Drosophila melanogaster: one gene and its partners. The protein of the gene in region 2 interacts with the protein of the main gene of each other region in a pairwise test. Each region holds a gene or a part of one and is shown on either strand. Other genes may lie near its edges. The genes, in order: CG15812, Sox21b, CG42727 and CG6765.

Region 1 (6,772 bases), about 11 Mb from region 2:
CGAGTGCCACGGCCAGAGATTACTCTACGACGGGCTCGCATCATCTGCACCATCAGTCAGCTGTGCACCACCATCATCACCTGCTAACCGTTCCACCGCGGATCGAGCGCCATGCCTCTGAACCGGCACCCAGTTTGGCCCCCTCCACGCCGCACCTGCTCAGCGTGCCGTCCAGCACTCCCTATCTCATCAAGCAGCACTCGGATCCGTTGCTGCCTCGCCAGTCCGCACTGCACATGGCCGGATCCGGTTCTGGATCCAGTTCCGCGATGGCAACTGGCAGCAATCCGTTTGCCCCGCTGCACCGCCAATACTCGCATCCGTTGTCGGGTTCAAATGCCAGCTATGTCACTCCGGCGCCGCTTCACCATCCGCACCACATCTCACTGCCCGAGTCCATCTACGCCTCGGGGTCTCCGCCGCCGGCCGGCTCCTCGCAATACCTGGTGCCCACGCGCGTAGTGGCCTGTCCAGTGGTTTCTAGTGAAACGGCGGCAACGCCCACTAATGCCAGTCCCGGCTCCTCGTCGACAGTGTCGGCGGCCGTGTCTGTGGTTACCTCACCCAATGCGGGGCTACAGAACAGCGCCAGTAGGCATCCGTTGTCGCCCACTTTCTCCATTGGATCTGATGTGGCACACGAGCGAAGGTCTCCGCACTCTCCCTCCATCAGCAGATCGCAAGTCGTGGAGCGGGCGGGGAAGAATCCAGCAGAGGCCGCCAACGGAGGCGGTTCGAGGCTGCGGACTTCCAAGTCTGCCTCGGGCTCCATCACTGGCACCCATCTGCATCCCGGCCAGGCCACCATGAGCAGTTCGTTTGAGCATTTGCCCACGCTGCGTGTCAAGAACGAGGAACTGCAGCGATCGGTGTCTTCACCTCAGGTGAGTTGGATGTGTACCCGACCGAAAGATCACTCACACTGACTTACCTTTGTTGCAGACCCAACGGGAGATCATCACTCTCGAGAATCCGCGTTCTAGTCATTGTCCGGTCATTCGACCGGGTCCGGCGCTGGGCTGCAACTTCTGTTGGAACACCATCGACGGGCATGGACGCATTTTGCGCCGCAAAACGAAATACCATTGCCCGGAGTGCCAGACGAATTTGTGCATTGTGCCCTGTTTCCAGGAGTATCACGAGCGGCTGAACAACGAGGCGGCCGCTGCATCCAGTGGAGCGGCAGCGGGCGATAATCAGCTGAGCAGCAGCACGACGGGATCGGGGAGCAGCAGCAGTGGCAAGGCATCGCCGTACGTCTCCTCTGCCGGCAGTAGCAGCAGTGGAGCGGGTGCAGCTCGTCATTATACCAAGACGGAATCGATATAATCTGGAGCTGCCGTGACCAAGCCCGCATATTTGTATTTGTGACAGGACGGCCGCCGAAAGGTTGACCTCCATCAGACTAGAAGCCACGCATTGCTCGTCCTTCATTCTGGAACATGGTCCACACATGGCCGTCTGTCGAATTTGTTTTTTTGTCAGCAGGAAGCGCGAAAAACGCGCGCTCACGAACTGCACCCAAATTTTCATTTGTTGTCCCAGTCCCACTGTGCATCCGGCCCGGAGTCCGGGCACATGGACTGCGAGAGAGGGCGCCAGGTGGCGCCAGAGAATTGTTTTTTGAGCCGTGCCCAGATGCACGCTGCCATTGTAAAGTAACGAAAATCTTTTGGAACACCGTCGGAATGCGGGGTGAAAACTTTTTTAAATCGCTAAATGTAATAATATGTTTATGTGTGTGTATCTATGTACTATATGTGTATGTTCTTGTACAAAAAAAAAACCGAACTAAAATCTAACAAAAATAAAACGTTGACGACGGTGCAGCTCGAAGCTCGAATTACGATAAGGTTTTCACCAAGTACAACTATCACTACCACTACCCCAATCCGCTCCGGCCTAAACTTAAGTACGTCCTTGCACCTGTACTTTCGCCGGGCACCGCTGCGCAGGCGCACGAATTGTCTAGTGGCCCACACTTGTTTTACTTAACGTTTTATATCTATGTATGTATGTACGTATATGCACATGGCCCTCGAGGAGGTTTTCGGATGTGCTAGATCCGGCGAATTCGTTTAATTCTCAGTGTAAACTACCATGTATGTAAACAATACGGAAATCAATAAATACTTGTGACCCTCTGGTTTGATACGAATTGCGTTTTCATGTGGAAGTAGTTTAGGAACGAGCCAAGAAAGCTAAATAGCTAAGTAGACCGTCGTTTCCATTATGTTTAAACATCTCATAGTGATCACGTTTTATTGATCTAATTACCATTTAACAAACCGACTTCGGATTACTTCTTGGCTGGAGCCTGTGGCGGAACTACCTCGGCGGGGGGATTAGCGTTGCGGAAGTTGGGGAACTGTTCCCAAGGCGCCGACAAGTCAAACTTCCTGAACTCCTGGGCCAACTCCAAGGGCTCGCAGACGACTCGCTTCTTCTCATCATCGTAGCGCAGCTCTACGTAGCCGGACAGCGGGAAGTCGCGGCGCTGGGGATGTCCCTCAAAACCGTAATCGGTCAGGATGCGGCGCAAGTCGGGATGGTTGGCAAAGAACACGCCGTACATGTCCCAGATCTCACGTTCGTACCAGTTGGCCGCCTTATGCACCTCGCAGGCGGAGTCCAGAGGAGTCAGCTCATCGGTGTAGGTCTTAACGCGGATGCGCGAATTGTAGCGCAGCGAGAGCAAATTGTAGACCACCTCGAATCGGTTCTTGCGACAGGGCACATCCACGCCGGCAATGTCAACCAGGTTGGTAAACTGCGCCTGATGATGATCCTTAAGGAACTGCAGCACGGGCACCACGCCCTCTGGCGCAATAAGCACCTCCAGCTCATCGCCGGCGGTCAGCTGCACCTTCTGCACGTACTTGGGCAGGCACTCGGCCACATAGCGCCCGAAATCGGAGAGATGCGAGCGAGCGACTGCGTCCGGCTGGCGGACAGTGGCTGTGGGTGGAATGTCTTACATGTAATTGACACCGCGATAAAGTCGACTTTTACCTACGCTTATCCGCCTTCTTAGGCTCCACTGGCGTTGTACTGGCCATCCGAAGAGCAGTGGATCCAGCAGCGGGCACCACTGATTGTTGAAGGGTTAGAATAGATCAGTTGAAGCTCTAGAGGCAAGGCATTTACCAACCATGTTTGGCCGACAGAGCGGCGACTGCGGCACGGGCACCCAGATTCCTGATTAAGGCCGCCATTCTACAAACTGTTCAATATAAATTCAACAATTTGCTCCGTTTTTGACAATTTATGTAATGCTAAAATGTCAATATAGTTGTTGGAGCCTAGGGTTGTCAGTGCGCCAAATTAATCTACTCGACAGCCCTACTTCGGTATTTTGACAATTTCGGTACAACACAAATACCGCACATACATTATTGTATTTCGTGTACGTTAACACCGAATTATTCTTCATTAAAAACCTCAACATTTTTTTGGAATATTTGCTTAAATGATTTATATAAAAAATAAATATACCCTACTACTTGATTTATTATTTAATTAAAAATACCAACACGTTCCTTGAAGTACAGCAGATGGAAAACATTTACAATTATTCTTCATTACCAACCACAAAACTTTTCTAGAATATTTGGTTAAATGATTTTTAAAAAAAAGAAATGTACCCTACTACTTCATTTATTATTTCATTAAAAATACCAACACGTTCCTTGAAGTACATCTCATGGAAAACATACCGAAATACCGAGATCTTAGGTGCATTCGACTACCCTGGCTGAAAACTGTGACAACGCGTTGCGTTTGGAATTGCGAGAATTGAAAACTTCTTGGAAATCAATTGGAAATCAAAACACAACAAGATGGTAAGTGAAACGCGTCCTCCCAAATCCCCGGGATAAGTGAAATTTAAATCTACAATCGTCGCCGTTTGCAGAATCATCTTAAGTGGATGGGCCACTCATCCACGATAATGGACATCCAGCGCTCGCTGCGTAATGATAATCAGCACTGCGAGGTGGTGCTGGCCTCCAGGGACGGCGTTCGAGTGCGCGCCCATCTATTCGTGCTAAGCACTTGCAGCGAACTGATGCGCAACCTCCTGGTGGACGTTCCGCGCGGCCAGGAGGCAACCATAATGCTGCCCGACATCCGCGGAGATTTGCTGGAGTGCATGCTGTCCTTCATTTACATGGGCGAGACTAGCCTGCCCTCCGCGTCGCTCCCCGAGTTCCTGGAGGCCATTAACCTCCTCGGCATCAAATCTGCCATCAGCTTTGAGTGCAATCCATCGGCTAGTCCACCCAGTGTCGATGTAGAGAACCATTCGTTAGCCGTGGAGTCGGCCAAGTCCATTACAGGACTCCAAATCGCTGAGGCCGAGCTGCTGGACGACGAGGAAGAGCCACATCCGATGGTCTCCGTCCCAGCCACTACACTCGCGGGTTCTCAACACCAGCCCAGCCATTCCAGTCGGTCATTGGAGTACATTGATGTCTACGAGCCGCCGAAGATCACCTACTCCATCGAGCACATGGACGGAAGTTCCAGCGGCAACCAATTTATACTCACCGAGAACACGGGCACTTTCACCATAACGCAGTCAGCATCGAGTTTGTCCAAAATTGAGGCAGATGAAACGGGTACCAGTGGCGCTGAAGTGGACCTGGGCGATGATGACGTGGATGCGGACCTTGCTGAGGATTCTGAGGAGCACGAATCACAAATGATCGACGAGGAGTTCGCGCAAGCCGATCCTCTTATGGAACTAGAAGCTGGTACTGAAATGGACGACGATGACGACGTGCACGACCAACTTGTGGACGAGGAAATAGACGATAAGCCCCGCAAGTTGGGCGGGGGAAAGACGCGAATCCGTCGCCCCATAAGTGCGAAGGCTGTCAAACGATTGTCCGATTGCAAGCCAACGCGAATCCAGCAGTTCGCAGCTCTGAAACGTGAGGTAAAAGACGATATCAACGATGCTTTGGATCTGGCGGCCGACGCGGTTATCATCGAGGGCTTAAGCCTACAAAAGGCCGCCGACCGGTTTGATATCTCCAAGACAGTCCTCTGGAGACGCGTGCGCACTAATCCCGCCTACATGCGAAACAATCGGGAACGACCATCCCTGCAAGAGGCCTACGAGCGACTGAAGAATGGACATTCTTTAAAGAGCATCAGCAGTGAGTTGCAAATCCCCATGTCCACGTTGCACAGACACAAGGTTCGTCTGTCCGCCCAGGGACGCCTGCCCAACTTCGTGTCCTGCCGAAAGCGCGACAATACGCCCAAGGATGAGCTGCGCGACAAATTAGCCAAGGCGGTGCATGCCTGCCTGAATGAGGGAATGTCCCAAAACCACGCGGCCAACCTCTTCGAGATCCCCAAGAGCACGCTCTGGAGACACCTGCAGCGACGCACGACGAGCCAGAATAAAAAGGTCAAGAAGGAATTGAAGGCCAATTACGGAGACGATATGCTAAACTAGAAATAAGCCTTCGGAGTTCTGGTTTTACAAACGTTCAGCTGGAATCAATAAGTTACCATTAAGAAGCCATAAGCATAGGGTTTAACTTCATGTTGTCCCATCAGTGTATGTACATCAACCATATCCTATCTCCTGATGAAACCAAAATTGAGTCCGGAAGAGCAGCAAGAGATGCTATTCTAGAGGTAGTTTTGTAGACTTAGTTCTATATGTAGATACCATTACCATTTTAACTGCTGCTCTTTTATTGTTCACTCCATCGTAATTGGTTAATTAAATACAACCAAAAATTAACAAAAACTTCTTTTTAAATGGGTCAAATTTATAACATGAGAGAAATATGTACATGCATGTAATTAAAATGCCGGTACTCTTCTCCAGCAAGGGTATAAAAATATCGATATTTTCGCTGGTTTTTCACATCCCTATCGCAATCTTTTCCCGGAATGAAGAGTCCAAATCGGTGGTGTAGTGATGTCAAGGTTACCAGACCGATCCCTGCTCACCCGCTGCGAAATTTTCGTCTACTTCGGGGTCTATATAGCGTATATAGTTGTGGGCCTGTACAAGATCTATGGGCTGCGGGATCACATAGTCAAGGAGGCAAAGTTCCAGTTTCCGGAGGGCTGGAGTTTGTATCCTTTTTCCCAGCGGCGTCGGGATGACAGCAACGATGAGCTGGAGAACTTTGGAGACTTTATCGTCAGCTTTTGGCCCTTTTACTTGCTGCACGTGGCTGTCCAAGGATTCATACGCTGGAAACGTCCCCGCCTTCAGTGTCTGGGATTCATCGGCGTCTGTGCCTTGGCTCTTAGTGTAAACCTGGACTGGTCATCGATGGTACTACTAGTCACATTGATAGCCAGCTACTACATCGTTTCCCTGCTCTCACTAAAATTTCTCGTGTGGCTTTTGTCCGCTGGCTGGATACTGTGCATCAATGTGATGCAAAAGAATGTCTGGTGGACAGATCGCGTTGGTTACACGGAATACGTCCTGGTGATTGTCACAATGTCCTGGAGTGTGCTTCGCGGATGCAGTTATTCCCTGTCCAAGATTGGAGCTAAGCAGGAGGATCTTACGAGATACAGCCTCGTCCAGTATCTGGGCTACGCCATGTACTTTCCCTGTCTGACCTATGGGCCGATCATTAGCTACCAGAGGTTCGCAGCCCGGAGGGAGGATGAAGTGCAAAACTGGCTGGGATTCGTCGGAGGAGTCCTGCGCAGCGCCATATGGTGGTTGGTGATGCAGTGCGCCCTCCACTATTTCTATATACACTACATGTCGCGGGATGTGCGAATG
Region 2 (7,251 bases):
ATTGAAGCCCATGAACCGCCACATGACCAGCTCATTCCAGCGTGTCCAAAACAAGCGGCTCGGGTGCAAATAGAGTACACAAAAATGTAAAATGGGAAAGAAATGGGTTTCAAGTGCCCCGTCGCATAATGGAAAGGATGGACGACGACGTCGTCGTAGTCGTCTCATTTGTTGTTGTGTTATTGTGCATCCCGGTCGGTTTTAAGGGTTGACATTTGGCCCACACAATGGGCGCTGAAAAGGAGTGAGTCCGATTCTGGACGAGTTGAGGTGGCAACCGCCAGCGCGGCTCGCAAGTGGGTTTTTTGGCCCAAAAGTCCACGACTCCACTCGGCATTGTTTTCTTTTTGTCCCCGAAGAATGGGCCTCAGACGACATACTTTTAAGAGCTGAAATCAATTAGTTAATTGATTAACAATGCCCCAATGAGCATTGAGGGGTCACAAGGCGTAGGGGAGGGAAACGACTGCGAGTTGTTGGCGAACGCAAACGGGAATAATTCATAATATAATTATATCTGAGTGGCTAGTCAGCTAATTAAAGTGGACTGCTTGCAGTATGAATTGAATTGGATTCCTTTAAAATTCATGTAAAAACTTATCAGGTTAATTCACTTTCTAGTTAAAGTTTATCAGTATTACATCTGAATAATCATGATCATTGCTAATCATTTTAATTAGGGAGGACACTTAAGCGTTCTTATTAAAAGATAAATAAAGTGGTTGTTGTTTTCAGTTGGGATAATTCAAATATTTTGTATCACTAAAACGTGGTAATATTTTCAAAAGAAACAATGCCGTTGACACATTTCTTGATCTTTATGTTTAAATCATCTGTTTTATAAATAGCTAAGCTTCTTAAAATAATCACCAAGAAATTATTTAAGTAGCATACATTTAGCATTCTTTGTTTACTTAAGGAGGTAAGTGCGATCCCATATTGTACGTATTGCAAAATGTATATGTATAATAGGGCTTGTACAAGATAAACTATTAGTTGCTTGCTTTTATTAAAGCTAAAGACTTATTAAATTATTTAGAAAATATAATTTTTTAGGATTTACAGCCTATAGTAGATAAAAAGCTACTAAAAAGTTGTTGAGACTCATAAATCTAAAACATAAAACTATTTCTGGATCGTTACGTGTACTCAATAATTTTGGAATATCCTTGGGTTTATGAAGTGGCCAACTGTGGTTCGAAACTATTTATCTTTATCTGTCCAATTCGACTGTTTTTTCTCTGCTGCCATATTCCGCAGTCTCTCTTTTTGGCCCTGTTCATTGGCATTTCTGGCCATGCAACGCATCGTGGTCAATAACTTGCGTTGGGCTATGCGAGGCGACATCTGTACTGCTTCCGGGCATTACCACTTGGTGTTAAAGTAAAAATTGCCCAAGCATGCGTATTAAGCATGAAATTTATATTAAAAGAAAAGGGGGAGCTGGGAACGGGGAGCGGTTAGCAAAGGGACACGCATATTTGTAATCCTTATGGAGTGCAAACAAATTTCTGTGTTGTCAAGTTGCTCTCCATATTTTTGCTCCTCCTTTTTATGTTGCGAATTGGCAGAATACACTGAGAAAAATGAATTGATTATGTTTATTTGTGCCTCCACTCAAGGTATACGCTAAATTTCATATTTTGAAAACACTACGCATATATCAATTGATATGAAGTTGCATTTATGTTTGGATTTTTATTTTCGAACTAATTTAATTTTGTGATTATTCTAGTAATTGAAATGGCAATAAAACCGAAAATGACTATGTGGACATAACACTTGTTCCGATGTGGTGCAGTGTCGCAGTTGCAGTATCAGTTGCACCACAGGGCCACCATCCGAATCGACGGTTGCACCACCAGCTGTGCACAAATTGCACTCCAGATATTTTTATTTGCTGTGAATATGCCAGCTCCTCCTTTTGATTCGCTGCACCTCCACGCAGACCGAAATGCAGCTCCGATATTTATTTGTAACGGAAATGTAACCGTTAAACCCAAAAGCGTGGGTCTTCTCAGGGTGTTAATCTAGTAGCCTTAATAGATAACCCACCAGAGGCACCTTATGTCCGACTCTTTCTCATGGAAATCGAGTGCTGAAGCCGTTCTTCTGTTTCGGACTTCGTATCGTATCGCAGTAGGAGTAAAATTAACCCGCTGGCCACTTGAGTTTCGGGGGCCATATAGATCCACTCGTAACCCCCGACCAAGTTGGCCGTGTTGTTGCTGCTTCGCGTTCATTTGTTCATCCGTTTGTTGGTATGTCAAACAAGAATTATGATCGGCTTAGCCACATGCTGAGCCCGAGATCTCTCCCCCAGCCATATTCTTCTGCTCATTCTTTAGCGGCGAAGAGGAGTCTCGCGGTCTGCAGTCTTCCACCTCGTCTTCAACACAGGTAGAGCTTTAAGTGTCTCCACTTTGTGTTGAAATGTATCGCGGATACGCACCGGGTTTTCGGTCCCAGCAGACCCTCCATTCAAAAGTGTCGTCTTGCCCGCCCGCTGCGATCGGATCTTCTCAGGGCCCTAAGTCGCTGGGCCCCCTAATGTTTGTAATTAAGAACTTTCACACTCGCAACAATCGCCTCGTAAACGTGCCAGTGTCTCGATAACCACATACCCTGCTCCTCCAAGGTTTAGTGTCAAGTTTGTGCCAAGGGCTATCCAAAGGGCTATCGAAAAGAAAAAGAACCGATACAAAGTCAGCTAACCATATGTGTGCTGATACAGCCGGGTATTAATTAGAATTTTTTCATACTCTTCTTTGGATTATGCCTGTTTTTTTGAGCAAATTTATAAAGCGAACACAATGGCCAAAAGAATGGCGTAAAAATATTCGATTGACATCTGGTGCGCAAAATAATTTCAGAAAACTCTGTTTGCACAATTGGGTTTTTTGTGTGCTGGTCCAAAGTCGATTTCTATATGATGGGGGCGCGTCACATTAAATTCAATTGTTGTCACATTTTGTGTAAATATATTAATAAACATACGTTGTTTTTCCCTATTTCTTTTACTATTATTTGCTCTAATTGCGTCATTTCAAATTCTCTGGTGCTTTTGACTCTCTTTTCATTGCGGCTTTTCACATACCTTGAGTCGGTTTTCATTTATATTTCGAAATTAAGTTAACCAAACAACTTTGAATGCCCCTCAGAGAAAGAAAACGAGCTTGCTTTAATTCAAGTGGAAGATCGAAAGCAAAAGTAAACACACCTCGAGTGGGGCATAAAGATTCCGACAATGATTTCGCAGAAAATGAAAAGAGGAAAATCCTGAAATTATCCAAACAATAAAATCTGTTGATTCCCCTTGTATCTGACGCACTCAGACTCATTATGTGGAGCTCTCTCCGTGTTTACCTAATTGATGGTCAAGAAAAGTTGTTCAAATTGCGTTCTGAACGGCGGTGAATTAAATGAAATTTGTAAAGGGTTAAAGGGATTTTTAATTGATTTTTTACCTGCTTTCTGACTTGAAGTAATTTCAATTAACTTGGAAAACAATTTTAAGACTTATGCTCAGTTCTATGGGATCAGACTTTATCATAGATCATATTTTACTTTTACTAAAAAAATGTAAGTAAATGTGTTTATATGTAGTTTTGCTAATTAAAATCAAAGCAGCTAAGTTAAACAACTAACTAAAGAATCCATAATGTTTTGGCTTCAATGAAGTTACCTCGAAGAGTTCTGCATTTCCTTTAAATTTCCCGTTTTCCGGCGATTGGAATCAAATATTCGATGGCAGCATATATGCGGAATATACTACCGAATTATTTGGATAATATGTGTTTATGGTTTGTTTTTGTCGCTTATGAATTCCACTTTCCGAACTGCCATAAAATGTTGAATTTGTTGACTTTTATGGTCTTGAGCTGTTTCGTAACAGAATCTGTTTGACGAACACTTTTCCAATGGATATCACTAGTTTATGTTGACGTGTGTTGTTTGCTTTCCATTCATCGATAAGATACTTATGGTGCATCCAATGTTTTGATGCTACAAAGAATGGAGCTTGTTTGATTTGAAGTTTGCAAGATAAATAAGTAGCTTAGGATTTCAAAACTTTATGAGACTTTTAAATCGCTTTGCTTTATTTGGATTTGTATTTTGTTTCATTTCTATGAGCACTTTACGAGCGTTGAAAGTTGATATCATATGAGCACTGTTTTTTGAATTGGTTTGTGTTTTATTATTTAGTTAAATGGGAAAGAAAAGTTTGGTTTGTTTAGGATTCACTTTTACTTTGGGATATTTACCGAGAACAGTTTGTTTATGTTTTTAGTATTATCCTTTGTATTTTTTTTTTGCGAATATCGGTTGTTTCTTGGCGTTTCTTGTGAGGGGGCTAAAACCGTCGCTAGCTGTTGGCTGATCGGCTCTTCTTGGCCAAGTTGGCTGTTGCTGCATCTAAGCGCGCTTTGGCGGCTATTCAACGGATCCGTTCCGACGCGTAACTAAAAACTTGGCGCGCGCTCTCTTCAAAAACACACGAGCCAAAAAACGAGTCTTTCAGTCACCGAATGGGGCGGGGGGCGTGGCAGGTGGGGCGGTGAGACAGCTGCTATGTAACAGTATCGCTCCACAGAAGCACACACACACATACTCAGCAAATCCTCTCTGCAAAAGCTTGTGTTCTCTCTCGCTCTGGATTAATACTTTTTCCGAGAGCTTTCTTTCTTATTGGTTTGTTAAATGTTTTTTATAAGCCTGTTTATAAAGAAACTACATCCACAACAAATTCAAAATTGAGAGCAAAAATATCGTTGTATTGGTGAGAGAGAGGCCCAACGACCAGGTGACATTTCGTGAAGGAAAGAATAAAAAAAAATCCAAGAACTGCGACGTCAGGAAAAAAAAGACGAGAGCAACAGAGATAAAAAATGTCAGACAGAAAGGGATGCAGAATGCAGAGGCAGGGCGGTCAACCAGAGCAGGTGTTGCGTGGGAGTGCGAGCGAGATAAACGGAGTAGCTACTAAGCCACCATAGCCATTTCACTCTAAACAACGAGTCTCATGATGGGCGTTTCCAATTGGAATGCTTCTGGTTGGGGAAGGTTTCGTGTTACATGAAATGCCAAGTGGAAAATGGGGGTAAAGTGGGGGTCTACGACGGTCTCTTTACTGGTAAGAGGTGCCACCATTGGGAGTGAGCTTTTCGGGAGTTTCTCGATTATTTACCGCATTTGCTTAGAGACCAGCAAAGAGCGTCCAAAAAATAAAAAAAAGGTGAAAAACAAACTATCGAAAGCAAAATCAACTAATCTTAATGGACATTTATTTTTGAATCGAGCTGAACCGTGGAGATCTGAGCCTGACATCTGGCCCGCAACTACGATTCGCCTTTGGCCAATTCCCAAGCTCAAAATGGTGGATATGTTAACCAAGGTGGCCATAGTCCAAAATTGGTCCAGACAGACCACTTTGGGACACTTTATCTTTGGCTCAGACAAAGATTAAAGTAGTGTCTGTTGTAGATTCGCACATAGTACTACATTTTGATCTAAAAAACACGTTCTGTACTGGAATGACAATTAACGATTGAGTGTTTTGACCCACATGAAATACCATTTCCAAAATTAATTTTTTTATATCTGTGCATGATGACACCTGGACTTTAGGAGTATATAGTCCTGCAAAGTGCCTACTATTGCTTTGCAATTTTTCGTGTCTACATTATTGTTTTGTTAATTTGCTTTGGTGGTGGTGGCGTTGCCAGGACAACGGCTCGTAACTCCGGAGTCCCAACTCCATTCGCATTTGGTCGGGCTTTGTTCCAGGACTTTTTGTGTAAAGGGTTTTGGGTGGGCCAGGGCATTACGCAGGTGTTGCCATTGTTTCAGGGCGGTTTTTAGCGCATTTTGATTTCCATTCACTCTGTCGTGTCGAGTTCTGTCGTCTGGCACTTTGGCTTCGTTTTAATTAACAACGAACTAATGACAAATGCAAACAGTGTGTACCTGCTATAAGATGAAACTACCTACTAGCACTCTAATTTAATTTGACTCTAATGACCTAAGCCTTTCCTACATGGGAGATAGTGGAAAAGTCTGAGAAAAGAGGAGTACTTGCTGCCTTTTTGCCAATTGTCAGCAAACAATTGCAAGTTGGAAACAATGGCGCACATTTTTCCAGCCCCAACTTGACGAACTGAGTGAGTGACGAAGGGCTTGCTGGATGGATAGATGGATGGACTGCAACTGTTCCATTTATTTGGACCTGGTTTTCCCCTCTCGCTCTCTCGTCTTCTACCGCTCCCTGTCGCACTCTATGTACTGGTTGTGTCCATTGTCTTTGGCTATGTCCCCTTCTCTTTCGCTCTGTCTGTCTCGCTTCCTCAGTTAGTCAGCCATTGTAATTATACACTGCACTCACCTGAATGCCTAAAATGGCTGTGCTAGCTATTGAATGGGGTTTGTCAGATATTCAAGTTAAATGGATAATTAGTTTTTCGTTAAAGTATGATAAAATACACCTTTTTTTAAAGTTCCCTTCGTAAAAATCTAAAAAATTCGTTATAATATTCATGTTAAGCTACAATATATCTAAAGGTATAATAACCTGAACAGTGAACACTCCGTTGGGGCGAATACAAATTTCTGTTTTTCTACTACCATGTCGACCATTCTCTATCCCTTTCATCACCTTACCCCCTTTTTTCGCAGTGCATTTTTCCATTGTCAGTTTCTGTTTTCTGTTTGTCTATCTGGCCATTGTCTGTTTGTCATATTTATCATGGCAGTTGCTTTTGCATTTGCCATAGCATTCTCTGCACTTGCAAATAAATGTTAATGAGTAGTTAGACAAAAAGCGCTGACAATGCACCGACTGCAACTTAGATAGAGAATATTGTGATGAGAACAGCCAGATGGGGGATTTGCCATCTTGTTGAGCCCGTCTTCAAGGCCCTAAGCCTGCAGAATGAAGCTCAACAATCGCAACGAAAAAGATTTCAATGGAGCTCTAATGCCTAAATCGTTATTGTTGGGGATGGATAGGTTGACGAGGTGGATGAGGCTTCCACACACTCCTGACAAGCTCCTGTCGCGGTGAATTGAAAATTTTCTAAAGACCAGGACAACAATGGGGGCAGAGATGCCGCCGTTGCCATGTAAATTTTTGCACTTTTTGTCGCTCATTAATGTTAATCAAAAAGCAAAAAGCACGAGGAAAATCATTCAAATTTTCGGTTGTGTTTGGCAACCGCTTGGGACTTCTAAAAGAAGCCCTTTCCCCTTCCGCAA
Region 3 (6,802 bases), on a different chromosome or scaffold from region 2:
GTAAGAACTGGAAGTCCCACAGAATGGAGTAGGCAACGGTCTGCAAACAGAGGATCGGGTTAACGTCAAGGCTTTTGCTTCTGGCTGATATAAATGCAGACTCACCTGCAACACCACAATGAAGAAAAGCAGTCCCACCGCTATGTCGACCTTAAATCTGGCCATCACCATGCCGCAGCCGCCCAGTTGGCCCAACAGGTTGACGAGCACAAAGACGGTGGCCAGGAACTTGCCGCAGCCCCAGCTCATGTCCATGTACTCCCGCTGCTCGTTCCATTGGATGTACATGCGCAGGCCGTCCTCGAAGAACGTGGCGATGAGGCACAAACGGGCCACTGTGGGCAGCACATTTTTGCCGCGCTTGATGACCTGCAAAAATGAGTGTTCGATTGGTTCTGGTTGAGTTGAGAGCAATTGGGATGGGTGCTGATATGGTGATAAGGGGACTACTGACAAGGTGATAAGGGATTTAAATATACAATGCCGTTGAGCGTGGCTTGCGCGTAGTCGCTAGAAATCGCCCGCTGGCTGTGACGTGTCTCTAAACGCTAGTATCTCTCGATTGCTATCTGCCAGCTAACGGGTTTTGGCCCGGCTGTCAATGTAACTTCATACATGTATGTATGTAAATCGCGAGCAAGTTCACCTGGCTTTCTAGCCCAACTATTACGGAACTCGACCTGGCCGCTGGCGTCCAGCTGCCCGCTATTTCTTTTTCAACACTTTCACTTGCGGAGACAGCTCTCTCGCACACACACACAGACACATACGCATCAGCACACAGGTAGAAAATAAGCAGCGAGAGAGAGAGTTTTCCCTGCGGCAGACGCAACAACTGTCAATTGCGGTACTGGAGTACAAGGCAAACCCATCATCTGGGTTGCACCCAGATTCTTATTGGAAGCAAATGCCCAGCACGTTGCCCCCATGTCAGCGGATCGTGATTATATGCAGCCAAGACCCTCGAACTTTGCCGCGTTTGGGTGACGTTGGCAGTTTTCCCAGTTTGCAGCTGCCAGGGCTTCCCCGCAAACGCCATTTGGGGCGCATCGGGAAGACGCTTCCTGCGGTGGATATGGAGTCCTGGTGGACTTCTTTTTGGCAGTGGAACCTAATATATCTTACCTGTTCCGCCACATCCTCCGTTTTCGCTATGTACTCGTTGGGTATGCTCATGTTGGCTGCTTTGGGCTGATCCGATCTCTCACTTTGGGGCAATCGTCTGTGGAGACACTTTGGCAATTCGTTTCTGACTTCTTGGGCGTCGCGTCGCTCTCCAAATTGTTGTTAAGTTACCAAAAAATCATGAATTAAAAGGCAGGAACTTAAAAACACACACGCACGACAAAGTATAGCCGTGATGGGGCCTATCGTTATCGCTGCGTTATCGATAGCCAATGGGCAACACATGGCCAATCGAATTGATAATTCGCTGTGAATGGGAAAGCAGCAATCAAAAAACAAGCGTGCCTGTGCTCATTTTATTTGACAAGTTGAACGCTATTTATTTTCCCTGTAAAGATGTCCGTTCAACAATCCAAGCCAAAGCAGAAGAAAGTCAAAGTTAAAAAACAGGATGATGCCGGCTATGGATCCGGGGAATTTTCCTTGGACTGGGATGTAGACAGCTACAAGACGGAATACGAAAGTGATGAGCACTGGGATCTGCGACGCAGCTTCATGCTGGCCCACAAGGATCGTTTTGAGGAGGACCGGCTGGTGTGCCTGGCCCAAACGTTCGTCAACATGGAGTTCATGGGCTGCAAGTATCCAAGCGCGACGATGCTTTTGGTGGCCGAGTTGTCCAAGGAAATCGCAGCGGATTTCCGTCAGAAACGGGAACAGCGCCTGAAGAGAACATTTGTCTCGGCGTCGGATGCGGCGGAGCAGCGCGCCAAAGGTAGACGACTGAACAATTAGTGGGCCCATAGGCGAGAGAAGATTCTTTTTATCACTAGTAACTATACGAGCCAGAGAGACCAAAGCCTAATGCCTAATTCCAACTACTAGGGCGCCGGGCTCCACCCCTTCCCTCGACGAGCTCCCCAGAGGATAGCTCACACATAAAACGCCAGTGTTTTGGCGGCGGAGATCCAGTCGATCTCTATCAAGATCTGCGTTTCGGTCGGCTCATTGTGTACTTGGCTGGGGGACGAGCCTGCCTGCAAAACTCCTGCAACATTGCGAATGTCAAGTACGAAGAGCGTGTCAGCCGAGATCAGCCATTAAGCGATAATACAAAATACGCCGAATTATTAGTAAATGATGAGGTAATAGCGACAGGACAGGGGGAGAGCCTTAAGGCGGCCAAGAAAGCTGCCTATAAGCAGGCGCATTTGACGATCCAGTCCTATTGCTATAGTATTAAGGTATGAAATTTCTGAAATAATGTATGCCTTATTAAACCCGGTACTACGCTACACAGCTGAATGCCACGCGCGACACCATCAAGGTGGAAAAAAACAAGGACGGCGTCAACATCAAAGTCACCAATGAGTCCGCCGACAGTCCGTGCGATCCCAAATTGGACCCCAGCAACAAGGGATATCGCATGATGCGACTGATGGGCTGGACAGGCGGTGGCTTAGGGCGACTGAAGCAGGGACGTGAAGAGCCCGTATGGTAAGAGTTCGACTTTTAACGTATCACCAAACGAAACTATTTTATTTTATATTTTCAGTTATCTGCTAAAGAACAATCGTAATGGTCTTGGATTAATAAATCCAAAGGGAAATTTCGCTGATTACCGACGGCTTATAGAAAACTATGTGAGATCGGACGATATACGTGACATGCAGTTTGAGCCCACGTTTTCGAAGGAAGAAAGAACCACGCTTCACCAGTAAGCACCGTCATCCCACATCGTAAAAAATAATTGCTTATTATGTTGGCATTTCCCTTTACAGAATCGCCAGACAATTTGGCTTGCGTTCCGCTAGCTATGGGAGTGGAGAGAGCCGGCGCCTTTTGATTACCAAGAAGATCGACTATGGCACAATACTGACTGAGGTCCTGCTTCGGCGGAACCCCAAGTTTTGTGATCGTTACTTTGTGCACGTACCCATGCAGAAGGCGCACCTGTTTCCTGGTCATGTGGCCGACCTGGAGATGAACGATGTATGTGAATAGGCAGGACGAACAAAATCTCAGCTCATAGTACTCTTATAAAAAGATCTTTATTCTTAGTTTTAATATAAAGGATGTAAAATATATGAAAAGTATTTCTGACCGTGTACTTTGTTTACGTTTCGTGCTGAATGGCTGCGAGAAAGAAGAAGCATAGCTGCAATTTTAGTCTCCTGTATGTGCGATTTCAATGCATTTAGAATTTAGCAATGAATAAATGTCCTCGCTGCAACTGCGATGCTACAGGACAGAATCGCCTCGTCACCGACAGCTGTGGACACACCAAGTGTCGTCTCTGCCTGGTGGCGGATGTATCGGATTGCCTGGAATGTCGAGTTGCACGAAGTGTCGATATCCAGGAGACACAGGAAACGCAAGCAAGGACGTCGGCTGATAAGCGAATAATTGTCACAGATAAGGGCTACCACTGTACCGTCTGCAATAAGGATTTTCGCAGCCGGACCCAGCAGTATTACCACCTCACCTGCGGCAACGATCTTCTCAAGAAGTTCAACTGCAAGGAGTGCGGACGCGTGAGTTGCAGCATGTACTTATGCTGTGTGTAGTTTTCATGACTGAGATTTCCTTCCAGAGATTTGCTACCAGTTCACATTTAAAGTACCATCTAATGAGCCATGAGAAACAATCAAAACACTCGTGCAGCGTCTGCCACAAAAGTTTCAAGCAACCAATTGTTCTACAGCGCCACATGCTTACCCACAACCAGGAGAAGCATTTGTGCCCAATCTGCCAGAAGGTTTTCCGCCGCAAGAGCTCTCTTGCCAGCCACCTGGCGATCCACAGCGATCTCGGCCTGCAATTTAAATGCGAGCTCTGCTCTAAGCATTTCCAGAACAAGGCCAATTTGAACCAGCATCTGCGGAAACACGACAAGAACAATATTCGGCACATGTGTAAAGTGTGCCAGAAGTCCTTTCTGCGACAAACCACGCTTCGGCTGCACATGAAGCGCCACTCAAATCGCGAACGTCAGTCCTGTTCCCTGTGCGGCAAAAGCTACAATGATCCGGATGCTCTGGGCCGACATTTAAGACAACACAAGACTGCCGAACGCTACCGCTGTATCCAATGTGACATCACTATCAACCGAAAGGACAACATGCTGCGACATCTGCGATCCATGCACCCTGGTTGTGCGTTTGCCAGTACTGTTGAAATGGTTACACCGAGGTCCAGTGCTCAGGAGGCCACGACGGCGGAAGAAAGACCATCTCAGACTGTAAGATACAACAGTGTGATCCAGAGTGTGGGCAACGTTGAGCCAGTGATGTTGCTGCAATCTACGCCACTGCCATCTCAACTCCCTGAACTGCAGATGGAGAAAGGGAAAGCTGTCCCAGAGCATCTGCCTCTGCCAGATGTAATGCCAGAGGAGAATGTCCAGCTGTATCGCAAGATCATCTTGGATCTGGACAACGAGGAATACTCTAGCGAACCTAGCCCCGATGCCCAAGAACCAGCCATGCAACATCACCAGCCGCGTGTCCCGGGGCAAGGTAGCTCCAAATTTAGCGAGATGCACTGGCGCAAGAATTTCAAATATTGGTACCAAAAAGAAGAAAACACAAAGTGACGATATGATCTCTAATGAGTTGGCCCTTTTTCAAAGGGGTCCTCTAATTTATTAGAGATCAGTCAGGTGCTGCGAACCGAAGCGAACCGCAGCAATCTTGTTGGCCGCTAGCCATATTTCCGCGTGCCGGCGTCACTGCCAAGTTCACCGGCCATCGGAAGCAGCAAGACCGCTTAATTTGCAACTAACAGTATTCAATATGATGGACGAGCAATCGGAACTCGAGACACTGCGTGAAATTTATTACCTAACTGATGATGCGTCGTGCAACTGGCGCAAGTTGCTTGTCCTGGGCGACTGCCTGGACCAACAGCTCAAGCGCAAGCTGCTCTGGATGTGGCCGACATCGGTGGACTTGGACTACTTTAATCAGCTGCTAGCCATGCACGACATCCAGCGAGTTTTGAGCATCGGCTGCGGCAGTGGGCTTTTGGAATGGCTTATGACAGTGTCTGGAGGTCGGAAAGTCCCCATGTTTGGCTTGGAGGTCGATCGCAACTGGTGGCAGAGCAAGTACTCCGTTCGAAGTTTTATACCGCTTAACTATTTAGAGGATGCCAGCCAACTGGATACGGATTTATTGACCAAATGCTGCAGTGACGTTCATCCGTGTGCCTTGCTCTTCTGCTACTTCAACAATCGAGGAGCTTTTCTGGACTATCTAAATGTGTATCAAGGAAAGTGGCTTATATTGATTGGACCATTGCCCGCCCTGGGAATCCACACAGATCCCAATCCCGCCCAGCCCCAACTGCCCATCGACCAGTGGATCCTGCGAGAACGCCTTAACTGGACTGACCACAACATTGTGGCATTCTACGAAAAGATAGCCTAGTCTAGTCTGTAGTATCTCTATAATTGTAGTAATAAACCATTGCCTTACATCCTAATTAGTTCCTGTTCACTTCTATGTGAAACTTGCAGGCGGGTATGCTTTGCACTTCGGCCGTCACGGTGCTGTTAATGCCTAGATTGCTGAGAGCTCCTCGCACCAGCCCGCACGTGAAGGCCACGAACTTGGGCGCGTGCTCCAGCTGCTTGGTGCCCGGCGAGATGCGAGTCAGAAAGCGGAAAGCCTTGTCCTGCACAACGTACATTCCGTGGTTGTTCGTCCTCAGGTTGTCCACTTGCTTCTTGTATATAAGCATCCAGAAGTCGGTGCATATAAACTTCATAGTCTCCAACTCGTCCTTAAAACGCGAAACTTCACGGGTGAGCCGCTCAATCAGGCGGTAGCCGGTGGTGAAGCCTATATACTCCAAAGTGGCCAGGTCGTGCTCCTAATAGGCGGAACCAAATCAAAATCGGTTGTATGACTGATTTTTTTTTGCGTCCCTCGTGTTCCTACCTTATTGCTATCCAGACAATAATTGACTATCTCTGCATGGAGGCAATCGAAAAGGATTTCTTCAGACATTTTCGAGGATTTAATTTTTCTTTGTGAGTTCAACAAATTTTTCCTCGGATTTGTTTTGATCTAGATTTAAACAGCTGTTGCAAGCGTTAACGGGCGAATGTCTTGTTTGCTTTTAGTGGTTTATTGTTATTACTATTATTTATACTTTAATATCAAGAGTATGTATAATTATTTTAATATGAATACTCTAAAATGAGCAGATTTGATAGATCTATTTAGCGTAATTTCAAATCATTTTATAACCATATATTTTTCGATGCATATATTTAGCTAAGCTGCACACATTTCTATCGCTGATCTGGCATCACTATTCAGTGAGGGGGTGTTTGGACAAAAACACAACAAAAAATGTATACAAAACAATTCCGATTAAAATTCGCAGAATAAGTGAATTAAACTTGAACAATTGACAATTAGTAAATAATCCAGTATGCTAGACCTCGTTCACAAAGCCACGCTGCATAGCATGGTCTGTCAGGCAATCCTAGTGTTAATCTGTTTGCTATGCTACGGATGCGGTGGCCTCAGTGGAGCGAAGTTTGTCTTCGATGATACGGTGGCCATCGTCAAGAACCGGGATGTCAACTCACTGCCCACCAACTGGACGGCGATCTTCACGCACGACTTCTGGGGTGCTTCCTTGCTCAGTTCCGATTCCCACAAAT
Region 4 (10,319 bases), 5.6 Mb from region 2:
GAACTCGTTGTGCTGCTCGGGAGTGGCATAGAAGGACTGCACCACCGAGTCCGCCTTCAGGAGGGCAATCCACTTGGTGATCTTCGGGAAACGACTCTCGTTGAAGTTGTACTCCTTCTGCAACTTCAACTCGATTACAGAGAGGCGTTCGAACCAGGGCCAGATCATGTAGTCCACGAATCCCGGCTTGTTGCCGCCAAAATATGGGGTGCCCCGCTTGGTCAACTCCTCCTCAAAGATATCAAGTGCCGTCCAGTAATCCTCCAGACCGGTGCCCTGCACAAGGATGTTTATGAAGGCACTGGTGATGCTGCTGAAACGTTCCAGCAGAATCTTGTCCTGTGCCCGCTTCAATGGGTCCTTGGGCAGCAACGGATTCTCCGGGTACTTATCGTCCAGATACTCGGCAATAATCAGCGACTCGATGAGCGAGGGCTCACCCTTCTCCGCCACCAGCTGCAGGGCAGGCACCTTAAGCAACGGACTCACTTCCACCAGCCACTCTGGTTTCTCGGTGAGATTGATGTAGACACTGTGATAGGGCACATTCTTGGCGTTCAGGACGAGATGAGCCCGCTGAGCGTAGGGACAGAACCTCATGGAGTACAGGCGAAGGACTCCATCGTCAGGGAGTACAGGCTTGGGGGAACCTAAAGATAGAATTTATTTACCAGTTAAATTTAGGTTATACAAATAAATCAATAACTTCATGAGTCACTTGTGGAACCCTAAAATCCACCCCTGTATTATTATTTGTTTAGCAAGTCATTGCACTTAAGTTAATGTTGATAGGGCCCAGTCGTGATAAAGCTCAAATTTTGTAGCTACGTTATCTTTTAGAGTGTAAATATTATGGGTTATCTGATATCGGGGTGAAAGCTATAGCTAAAAATGTAAGTAAATTTTACAAATCAAATAATTAATTTAATGCATTACCTACAATTGTAAAAGAATAAAGATCGTATTGAAATTTACCAAATAATATACCTTTCTAACTTTTTAACCAAAAAATCCCAGTTATTCATGCCAATATTCTTTAACATTATGAAATATAAAAATCGTTATTCGATAATTACGCTGAATGTTGGAGAACTTGTTTTATAAATAATACTATAAACACTCTAATGACATGGGCGTTTCTCTTGGCGGCGGCGACAACTGGTTTTGCTTGCTCTCTTACCTTTGGCCAAATGTTTACCAGAACTCATTTTGTTTAATTGCAGAACTGAACAAATTCGCTTAACTGTTGAAATGTCGACGGTGAAATGCGAACTGAGTTTTCTCTTCGACGGCGCTCTGTTTATATAAAGTTTTTTGTTTGTGTTTTAACGCGAATAAGAATAATCGAGCTTTTTGCGACGTGACTCTTAGTTTTCGTTAGCTTTTAAAAACGATTTCTCATCGCAGACGTTTATTTCGATTTAAAACGCTTTACTACATTTGCGATTTGTTTTGTGGGAAGAGACAATCATTTCCTCCGCATTATACATAGTACATCTACTTAGTTTGTTAATAATCACGCCTGTTTGTAAATATAGATATATTTTGTTTTTACATGGTTTGGGGGGAGCTTTATTTTTGTTTTTAATTGAACCTCGGAACTACTACGTACATTTAGAGTTTTAAGTTTATGAACTTTTCGTAAAAAGTTTCGATCGGCGGACTTTCGAAATCAAACTTAATCTATGTACAAAAAAGTTCTCGAAATTTCCGTTCATGCCTTACAAAAAATACAAAAAAGTATTAATACATATACAACAGAGTTGCTGACATCATTGAGTCGCGATAAATAGTTGTTATCAGTAATTGCATTCGAAAAACCAAATTGGAAAGTAATAAATAATGACAACTACACTTGCTGCTGGAATTAATTGTTTATCAAAATGTAAAAAGATCCTTTCGCTGCTTTTGGTCCTACAAATGGGATTTCTTTTGATGCATCCTTTTGAAAACTCAAGTGGATGATTAATTTTTAGTTTTTAATTCATTTTAAAAATGTCCGCAAATGGTAAACATTAAAATTTAATGATTAAACTGTATCGTTTTTTTTCCCGAATCAATTGCGCGTTGTTGTTACGGTAAATACATGGGATAAATAGCTAAAACTAAGTAAATACGTACACTTAAAAAAATTCTACACACTGGAGTTAAATGTTGCTTTGCTTTCGTTTCTGAATTTCTTGCTTTGTCTTGTTTTGCATCGTTGCCTGACGATTTCCATTCTAAGTTTCGTTTATAGTTTCGTTAATTTTTTTTTGTTCGCAATTTGTATTTTGTTTGTTGCTCTATAAAATATGCAAACTGGTTGCATTTTGATCACGGTTCTTGCTGTTGCATATAAACATCCATCTCACTTTTGATTATTGGAACGACTTGAGATTTTTGAAAATGAATGAAGAATATGGCTGTTTTCAAATTTATCCATGGGCATCCGGTTTCGAATCCTTCAGCTTCATTCGCCAATGGTCCAATGGTTCTTTGAAGTTGATCCCTATGGCTGGCCTTAGCCATTCGGTGAGGTGGATGCTCCAGGAGATGTGGTTGTGGCCACTGCATCGCTGTTGCTCATCTTGTGCAGCATGAGGGAGTGCGTCGATCTGGTGGCGGTGGAGCTGGGATACTTTGGCTGCATTTGGCTGTTGGACACTGTGGAAGAGCTGCTGGTCGCCGGCGGTGGCGGTGGCTGCTGGCTGCAAGTGAACAGAGTTCATCAGTGTGCTTTTGCTAGCCCTTAGGACACACACCCCTTCTGCTCGCCATCCTTCTTGCTGTTGAACATGGCCAACTCGATCTCCGTGTGCTGGCTGTTCATGTGGCGCACCCACTCCGCCGGCGTATCAAAGGATCTGCACATGGGAAAGGGAGTTAGTATATATTTTGCTTCTATAACTCCAAACACTTACGTGGAACACAAATCGCAGAGCAGAGTTACGTGATCGTGATCCATATTGTTCTCCTGTTGCTGAAAAACACAATATATAATCTGGTTTTAATACATCCAATAGATATTGGTAACCGATCATCACTACGAGTTAAAATCATACTTCAGTAGATTTGGATTTATTAAAGGGATGAGTTGCTGTCCAAGTACTCACCGAAACGCGACGTCGTTTCTTTGGCACATAGGTTTTAACAGATCGCAGGGCGAGGTTGCTGGAGGCGGATGTGGTGCTCCCGCTGGCACTGGATGGCAGGAGATTCCTCTCCGTGCCGCCCGTGGGATCGCCGGCATGTGTGCCCAGGTGACGGACCAGCATTTTGGTGTCCTCGAAGGACTTCTGACAGATCTCGCAGACCAGCAGCTGCTTGAAGTTGTTATAGTCGCGCAGCGTGTGCTCCTCGCTCTCCTCGGAGGGTGTTCCGCGATCCCTATTCACCTCCAGCTTCACGGCGGACATCTTGAAGTCGAGTGGCTGCTTGGGCGAAGCCAATGGCAACTCCTCCAGATTGTTGTTGTTGGACGCACTGGAGGCGTTTGGTGGGTTGTTGCTCCAGTCGGTCGGCTCCTGTTTGATGGTGAGGAAGTTGTGCGGATGTCGAAGGGTCGGCGGATGTGATGGTGGTGCCTGCTGTGGTGGTGGCGGAGGTGTGGCTGCCAGGCGAGAGGATACCACGTGCTCAAAGTGTGGTGCTTCATAGTAGTCCCGAGCTGAGGGGAATAAAACATGGGATTAGTCATCATTAGCAGCTGTGCTGAGTACTCTTACTCACATCTTTCGCATGCGCTCTCCCTCCTCAGACGTCGCTCGAAGACCAGGCCCACCTCGTTCCGCTCACGAAGTGCCTGCTCCTCGTACTCTGTCCGCCGCAGCGTGGTCTCCGCTTGGTCAGCACCTGGTCCGGCGGTCAGGGGACAACTGCTGCAGCCCACCTCCGTGCAAATGGAAATGGGCTGCGATGGCGGGGCACCTGAACCTCCAACTGATCCTCCTCCTCCTCCTACTGTTGTCGTTGTGGTGGTTGGTGGTGGTGGGTGAGACTGCGACTCCAACTGACCGGGTGCCGCGAAACAGCATTTGTCCTCCGGATCGATGGCCACCTCCTTGTTGACGGAAATGCCCAACTTGCTGCTGCTCGCGACGGTTAGTAGTCCTGTGTGGGCGGCCAATTTGGGTGACTTAATGATCACAGGCGAGTCCTTGGGCATCACGGAGGCACCAAGTCCACGAAACTGCTGCTGGGGATTATGGTGATTCAGGTGGCTGTGGTGTGACGACAGGTGGTGGTGATCCAAAGCGAAACGTGTCGATCCACCCGGCTTGCTGGCATATAGATCTCCCTGAAGTTGCGCCGACATGGTTGATTGTGGCGGCGGCGGAGGGGGCGGCAAAGCGGTTCGAGTGCCATTCGACATGTACATGGTGCTAGCCTCTCGCGGATGCAGATGCCCGGCCAGTGAATGGGGATGATGTGTGGTCGTGACCACTGAGCCGGATCCACCGCCATTGGAAGAGCTGGTGCGGCAGAGGCCACGGATCTTGAGGATCTCACCGCCGCGCAGGACCTCGTTAAGTATGTCGTTGGAAACTGTGGCCTCGCCGCTGTACATGTACTGAACCAGGATCTGGATGGCGCGATGGCTAAGATCCGGCGGCAGGACCACATACAGCACTCCATTGGGATTGGTGATCGGTGCCGTTTCGAACATGGTGGCGAAGAACTGGGACGAAGCACTCAGGATGAACTTGTGGGCCGAGATGCCCACTGTGGGTATATCCGAGGGGATGCCGCTGCTGTTGTAGGAGCTGTACAGAACCACATCGGCGAACTTTTCGTTCCTAAAGGGGAAATATGATGCGTTAATATAGCATATCTACGTATTTTGTAGTACTCTTGGAGAATATTGAAGAAGGGTTCTTAGAAAATGTGTGTTTAATCCTCTGACCCTGATACATTTAATGTTTTTAACATTAAACAATTAAAAACGCTGCTAGATCACAATTACAAAAAACAAAAAACTTCAAATATGTACCAACTATGGTACAGTGGTACTTACTTATAAAGTGTGGCTATGGAAGAGTTAAGATAGGTGAGGTGTGAGTCCCACTTAAGGTGATAGTTTTCGGCGGCCATCTCTGCGGCCGGCAGCTCCTGTACAACGATAAAATCAATAAATAAATCAATAAATGCCGCCAGTGGGGTGTTTATTTTGAATCTCCCGATCCCACCACACCACCCAAGGAGTGGTGAATAGAGGGTTTAGCCACCATGCTCTTGTGACAGCATATTTCTCACACGAAGCAACGGTCATACTTATTCGCTAGCTTCCATTTGTTTACATATTTTCATTTGTGTTTATTTTGAAAATATCAAAATGTCGCAGTTCGACACGCGACTTATTGAGCTGGTTAGGGCTAATCCCAAGCTTTATGAGCGCGAACTTAGAAACGCACCCTACGAAGCGCATAAGAAGCGACATCCGGAAATCTGGAGCAGCATCGCCACTTCATTAAATTCAGAAGGTAAGAAACTGATAAATTGTATAAATATTCCCTAATTCCTCATTATATTTTAACTTAGCTAGTGCCTGTGTCAGTCGTTGGAATCATCTGGTGGCCAAACAGCGTCGGGAGCTGGCCAAAGAAAAGGCCGGAGGCACTGGCTCCGATTGGAGTCTTCTGCCGCATTTGAAATTCCTGCAGCATCACCACCATCCGATTAATCACCGAAATTCGGGTGATCTGAGTAGGAGCACACTGAAATCCAGCGACGAGGTCAACGATGATGAGGATCCGCTCCAGGAGGCCATGGATGAGCAGCTGGCCGTTGCGGGAGCTGCACCAGCACCACCCACAAATCCTGCCCATGCAACGCCAGTGGCTCAAGCAGAAAAGAGGATAGAAGCCCTGCTTGAAGGACTGGGCGAAGCAAACCGAATTAAGGCGGAGAAACGCATTCTGGCCTACCTATGCAAATGCAATCTGCGCGCCCTGAACGACGAGCAAATCGATGATATAGTTATTTAGGAAGATTGCCAAGATGATATAGTTATAAAGGAAGATTGCCATGATGATAAGTTAAATACATACATGCCGTGATAGGATATCAAAAGTAGCAAACATCACTGATCATATAATTGTTTAATAATTAAGTCATTTTTGTTATAGTTTATATATCTGGACAATTATCTTAAGCGAATACTAAATAACTTCTTTTTCCAAATGTATGCTTCCCTAAAAAATATTGTTAATCCATTCATTTAACCTAATCTTCGCATCTAATGAAGTTTACTATACAAACTAACTATTGCATTGTATGATATGATAAAACATTAACACGCCTGTGATTAAATAGTTTATTTTATTTGAGGCTTAAGATTAGCAATTTAAAATTCAAGACAACTGGTAAACCCCAAACAAAGCATCAATTGTCGCCAGAGGTCATTTATAGAGCCAGAGACTTGCGGGAGTGTATAGTAATGCAGTAGGAAGCTATCTGTGTGGCAAAAGCCAACTTTGAACAGGCGGGCGGGGAGCAGGTGGAGTAGGCGAGGGAAAATCGAATTGAGCCACGCCAAAAAACTCCTACTATGACGCAGCTGCTGCTGGGAACTGGTCAAAGAGTCAAAGAATGCGCGCGCAAGCAATAACATGTCCAATATCCATGTCTGGATCGGATCGGGGGAAGGCCTCCAGCACGGGGACAGGGCGACGACGACGCCAAAACAAGCATTTAGTTTATTAATTTGACGACTGCCGCAGGGGGAGCAGTGGGCCGAAACAAAAACATAACGAGCGAGGAGCGTCGTGCACCCTTAACGACTGATGCCACACTACCACTACCCCCTCGTACCGACTGAGTCCCCCTTACTTCACACGTACATGGTGAACCCTCCGACGCACTAAGCCACTATATGAACCAACTACTCCTACGGCCAGCCACCTACCCACTAGACCATTCCCATTCCCAATCCCCGGACTCAGCTCTTGGTATTAACACCGTATTATCGATTGATTTCCAGCACAAGCACACAACAAAAATCAATAGGCTGCCAGAGCCAAAATCAAATATTGTACAGTTCTGTGATTGTTTAGTTCAGTGTTGTCGTAAAAGTTATAAACAATTTGTAGACTCGAATGTATACTTACGCCTTAATAAATGGATTTTCAAAGTACGCGCCCAAAACGTTTAAATGCTACATTTAACTGGAAATTCACCTTGTCTCGCCTCTTGGTTTTTTTATTTGGTTTAAAATCTCTTTAAATCACTGGATGAATTGGATGGAGTCCGTGGATTTTTGGGGGACCGTGCTTGTTCGTTATTTGTTGTCAATTAATAATTTGTTATTGCTCTTCATTGAGAACGCTGGGGAAAACCGTGCGACTTGGACTTTTGAGCTGGGGAAACTGCGCAGCGCGTCGCTTGAGCTTTCGCGTTGGTGGCCACCGAACGAATAAAATCGCAGTCAAAGAAACAGGACCAAAAGGACTCTCCCAGGCGAGAGAGAGAGAGAGAGAGAGAGCGATTGAGATTGACGGGGTGCGAGCCACGGGATGCGACAGTGAGAGAGAGAGAGAGAGGGAGCAGCCCTCGTCCTCACGTGCGCATTGTTATTGTTGTGGTTGGTTCGAAGTTGGATACGAAGCGCGCGTAAAATTGATTTCCTGAGCATATTGATTTTCGGTATCTCACTTGGCCTACACCGCCTCCTCGGCCCCCTGAGTTTCCGCCTGCTCAGTTTCCTGCCCATCCTCGTCGGCCACCTCCTTTACCACCTCCATTTGTTCCTCCTGGGTTCCTACCGCCTTCTTTTCATTGTCCTCCTTAGCCATTGCCTGTTTCTCCAACTGCGTTTGCGATGCTGACGATGTGTCCTGCTTTAAGAGTTCTCGCAAAAACATGGTGGCATAGGCAGCCGTGGGCAGCGAGAACTCCAGCAGGAGTGCCATGTAATTGGCCTCAGCTTCAGCTGGTTCTGGTGCAACCGGAATGTTCTTCAATAGCTCCCAGTCGGAGGCGATAAGTGTATCCTCCGGCGTATTGTACATTCTAAAGCTCCACTTGAGATCACTGGACGATATGATCATCTTGCGGTAGGCGCCAGCCAATGCGTATGTCTTCTCCTTGTGCTTCAGTTGATCCGAGGAAAGACCCACTTCGGCGAGCATTTCCTCGTACCACGCGCCGCACTCGTTGCTGGGATAGGTGATGTCGTGTCCAGGCAGGGGAAGGACCACATCGCAAAGTTTGTACTTGCCGCTAGCGATGTCTTCTGCTGTGAGCGGGCGAACCTTTCGCTTGAAAATCGACTCCTCTTCGATGGCTTCATCCCCTTCGGGGACTTCCAGAGGTTCATCGTTAGGCTCCTCTTCTTTTTGCTCTTCCAAGGCCTCGCCCTGCTGCGCCTGCTCTTCCGAGGCTTCCGACTGATCCTGCTCCACATAAACCAAATCCCCGGGTATCAATTTCAAGCCGAACTCCTTAATTCGTCTAGACGCTATCCTGTTGAAGATCAGGCTTTGGTAAGCATGTGGATATAGCATGAGCATGTTGCGTGGTATCTGCCGCAGAGCTGATGAGTAATCTGATTCACCAAATCTGGCCAAGCCGTCCAGCAGCTTCTTTTCGATGAACTTTTCGCCGTAGATCTGTGCAGCTGCCGCCGCGGAGTCGCGATTTTTCCACCACTCCTCGCGTATGGGACGCAAAAACTCCACATCCGAGTCCCGGGGTTTCAGGATCAGTTCGCAGGCCAGTTTGTAATCGTGCTTGAGCAGAGCAACACCCACCTCATAGGTTGGGACACTGGCGCTGTTGCCGAACCGCTGCAAGCCATAGTAGTTGATGAAGCCGCGTTCCTTCAATGATTGCAGTGCCTGCTCGATTTCTTCTCGCTTCTCCTTGGCAATGTGTCGCAAGGCAATACGAAAACGATTGCCCTGCAAATCGCCTAGCTTCAGTGTATTGGATTCGAATCCAAAGTTGCCGATATGAACATTCCGTTGGGAGCGAGCTGCAACCAAAATGCTCTCTGGTGTACGACGCTTGACGGAGAACTTCTGGGTGGTTTTGGCCCGCTTGTCCTTGATGCCGCTGTAGTTCACCTGCGATGGTCGTAAGCTGTAGAAAAATAATGTTTTCTTAGTATATTAAAGCATTTAAAATTTGATCAAACTTACTTCAGTCGCGCTGCTAAAGTAGAGGCCACATCGCTGGTAACCAAATTGGTTTTGTGCACCAGGAAGGTCACGTAATCCGCCGGAAAGCTCCAGCGTTTGTCACCTATGGAATTCGATGCATAAAAAAAGGAATTCCCTGGGTAATCATTTCTACTAACCGCGTCCTGGCTTTGGTTTAAATACTTTTATAGTCTTCTTCTCCTCTGCCGGCACCTGTGAGTCTTTCTGGGTTGAGGTTTCACCTTCAGCCGCATCCTTATTTTCCAAAGATGCCTCCTCCTGGACCTTCGGCTTAGCCTGCTGCTGTCCAATGGTTGTGGACAGTAGCTTGCCCTTGTAAAGCTGTTTTATCATCTGGTGGACTTGTGTTCGCTGCTCCTTATCCAGAGTGGTCACATCAATCTCCACCTTTTGCTCGATCGCGGGATCGTTTTTGGCCTTAGCCAGATTGGCTATATCCTGCCAAACTTCCGGGCCGATTACTGCCTCCAGTTCTTTCCGCCAGTTGTCCAGTTCGTTTTCGGCCACAGCTGTTATAGTATGAGATGCATGAGCATAAGCAAGTATGCAGGATAATTGGTGAATACAGACCCACAATAGCCACTTTAGGCACACTGAGATCGTTCAGTTCCAGAACCTTTCCATTGCTATCAATCTCGTTCACGTGAAAATCAGAGAAGCGAGACTTAAGTATTCCCGTGAAGCCAGGTGCCTCCGGGTTAGTGAACTCCGTAATGCCCACTTGGGTCTCCAGCAGCGTGGATTTCTGTTGTGGAGCACTTTTGTCCAACGAAAAACGCCGGTTAACAACGATATTATTTATGGGATTTAATTTGTACCTGTTGCGCTGACCGCCACCATTGTTTTGGGGGCGATCCTTCTTCTGACCACGCCAGTTGCTCTTGTTGTATGGCCCGGAATGGTTATTCCTACGTCCTCTGCCCCGATCCTTGCCCATCTTGGTTCAAAATTCGCGTTTGAAAATTTGTCGGCAAATGAAATCCACGTTTTGCACAACATATGATGTGCCCATTCACAATAAGCTTTTTAGGTTTATTAGGGTGGCCGCATGTGCCATTTATTCGGGAAATAGATTTCTTAAATGGTTGTTAGCATAAGTTCATCCGCAAATATTCCTCTTTTTTTATATTGTATGATAAATATAATTTAAAAACATGCTTAATATTAACATATCATAAA

Evidence for each region.
Region 1: the proteins of Sox21b (region 2) and CG15812 interact in a two-hybrid assay, tested with the Drosophila melanogaster proteins (one large-scale study listed by BioGRID).
Region 3: the proteins of Sox21b (region 2) and CG42727 interact in a two-hybrid assay, tested with the Drosophila melanogaster proteins (one large-scale study listed by BioGRID).
Region 4: the proteins of Sox21b (region 2) and CG6765 interact in a two-hybrid assay, tested with the Drosophila melanogaster proteins (one large-scale study listed by BioGRID).

Annotation. Positions count from the first base shown.
Region 1 is NT_037436.4:3,156,258-3,163,029, forward strand, and holds CG15812 (uncharacterized protein), read left to right. Parts: upstream 1-3,733; 5' UTR 3,734-3,839; coding exon 3,840-3,842; intron 3,843-3,849; exon of another isoform or gene 3,850-3,913; coding exon 3,914-5,467; 3' UTR 5,468-5,762; downstream 5,763-6,772. Other genes in the region: BtbVII (BTB-protein-VII), read left to right, coding at 1-884, 943-1,329; ND-30 (NADH dehydrogenase (ubiquinone) 30 kDa subunit), read right to left, coding at 2,300-2,958, 3,017-3,091, 3,152-3,215; rasp, read left to right, coding at 5,942-6,772.
Region 2 is NT_037436.4:14,126,873-14,134,123, forward strand, and holds the start of Sox21b (Sox21b), read right to left. Parts: upstream 4,453-7,251; 5' UTR 4,266-4,452; exon of another isoform or gene 3,686-4,265; intron 1-3,685.
Region 3 is NT_033777.3:15,344,784-15,351,585, forward strand, and holds CG42727 (uncharacterized protein), read left to right. Parts: upstream 1-3,264; 5' UTR 3,265-3,335; coding exon of another isoform or gene 3,336-3,659; intron 3,660-3,718; coding exon of another isoform or gene 3,719-4,720; 5' UTR 4,721-4,919; coding exon 4,920-5,555; 3' UTR 5,556-5,608; downstream 5,609-6,802. Other genes in the region: Surf4 (surfeit 4), read right to left, coding at 1-40, 106-369, 1,126-1,176; CG31301 (uncharacterized protein), read left to right, coding at 1,522-1,900, 2,011-2,369, 2,426-2,622, 2,681-2,842, 2,907-3,129; CG42726 (uncharacterized protein), read left to right, coding at 3,336-3,659, 3,719-4,720; Trs33 (TRAPP subunit 33), read right to left, coding at 5,611-6,000, 6,069-6,137; Tmtc4 (transmembrane O-mannosyltransferase targeting cadherins 4), read left to right, coding at 6,568-6,802.
Region 4 is NT_037436.4:8,509,843-8,520,161, reverse strand, and holds CG6765 (uncharacterized protein), read right to left. Parts: upstream 7,396-10,319; 5' UTR 7,089-7,395; intron 6,289-7,088; exon of another isoform or gene 5,967-6,288; coding exon of another isoform or gene 5,521-5,966; intron 5,463-5,520; coding exon of another isoform or gene 5,315-5,462; exon of another isoform or gene 5,241-5,314; intron 5,092-5,240; 5' UTR 5,074-5,091; coding exon 4,997-5,073; intron 4,779-4,996; coding exon 3,712-4,778; intron 3,650-3,711; coding exon 3,096-3,649; intron 2,963-3,095; coding exon 2,904-2,962; intron 2,847-2,903; coding exon 2,745-2,846; coding exon of another isoform or gene 2,732-2,744; exon of another isoform or gene 2,691-2,731; coding exon 2,504-2,690; 3' UTR 1,424-2,503; downstream 1-1,423. Other genes in the region: GstO3 (glutathione S transferase O3), read right to left, coding at 1-650, 1,181-1,208; CG6683 (uncharacterized protein), read left to right, coding at 5,315-5,462, 5,521-5,966; Pus7 (pseudouridine synthase 7), read right to left, coding at 7,638-9,060, 9,120-9,222, 9,278-9,649, 9,711-9,898, 9,959-10,077.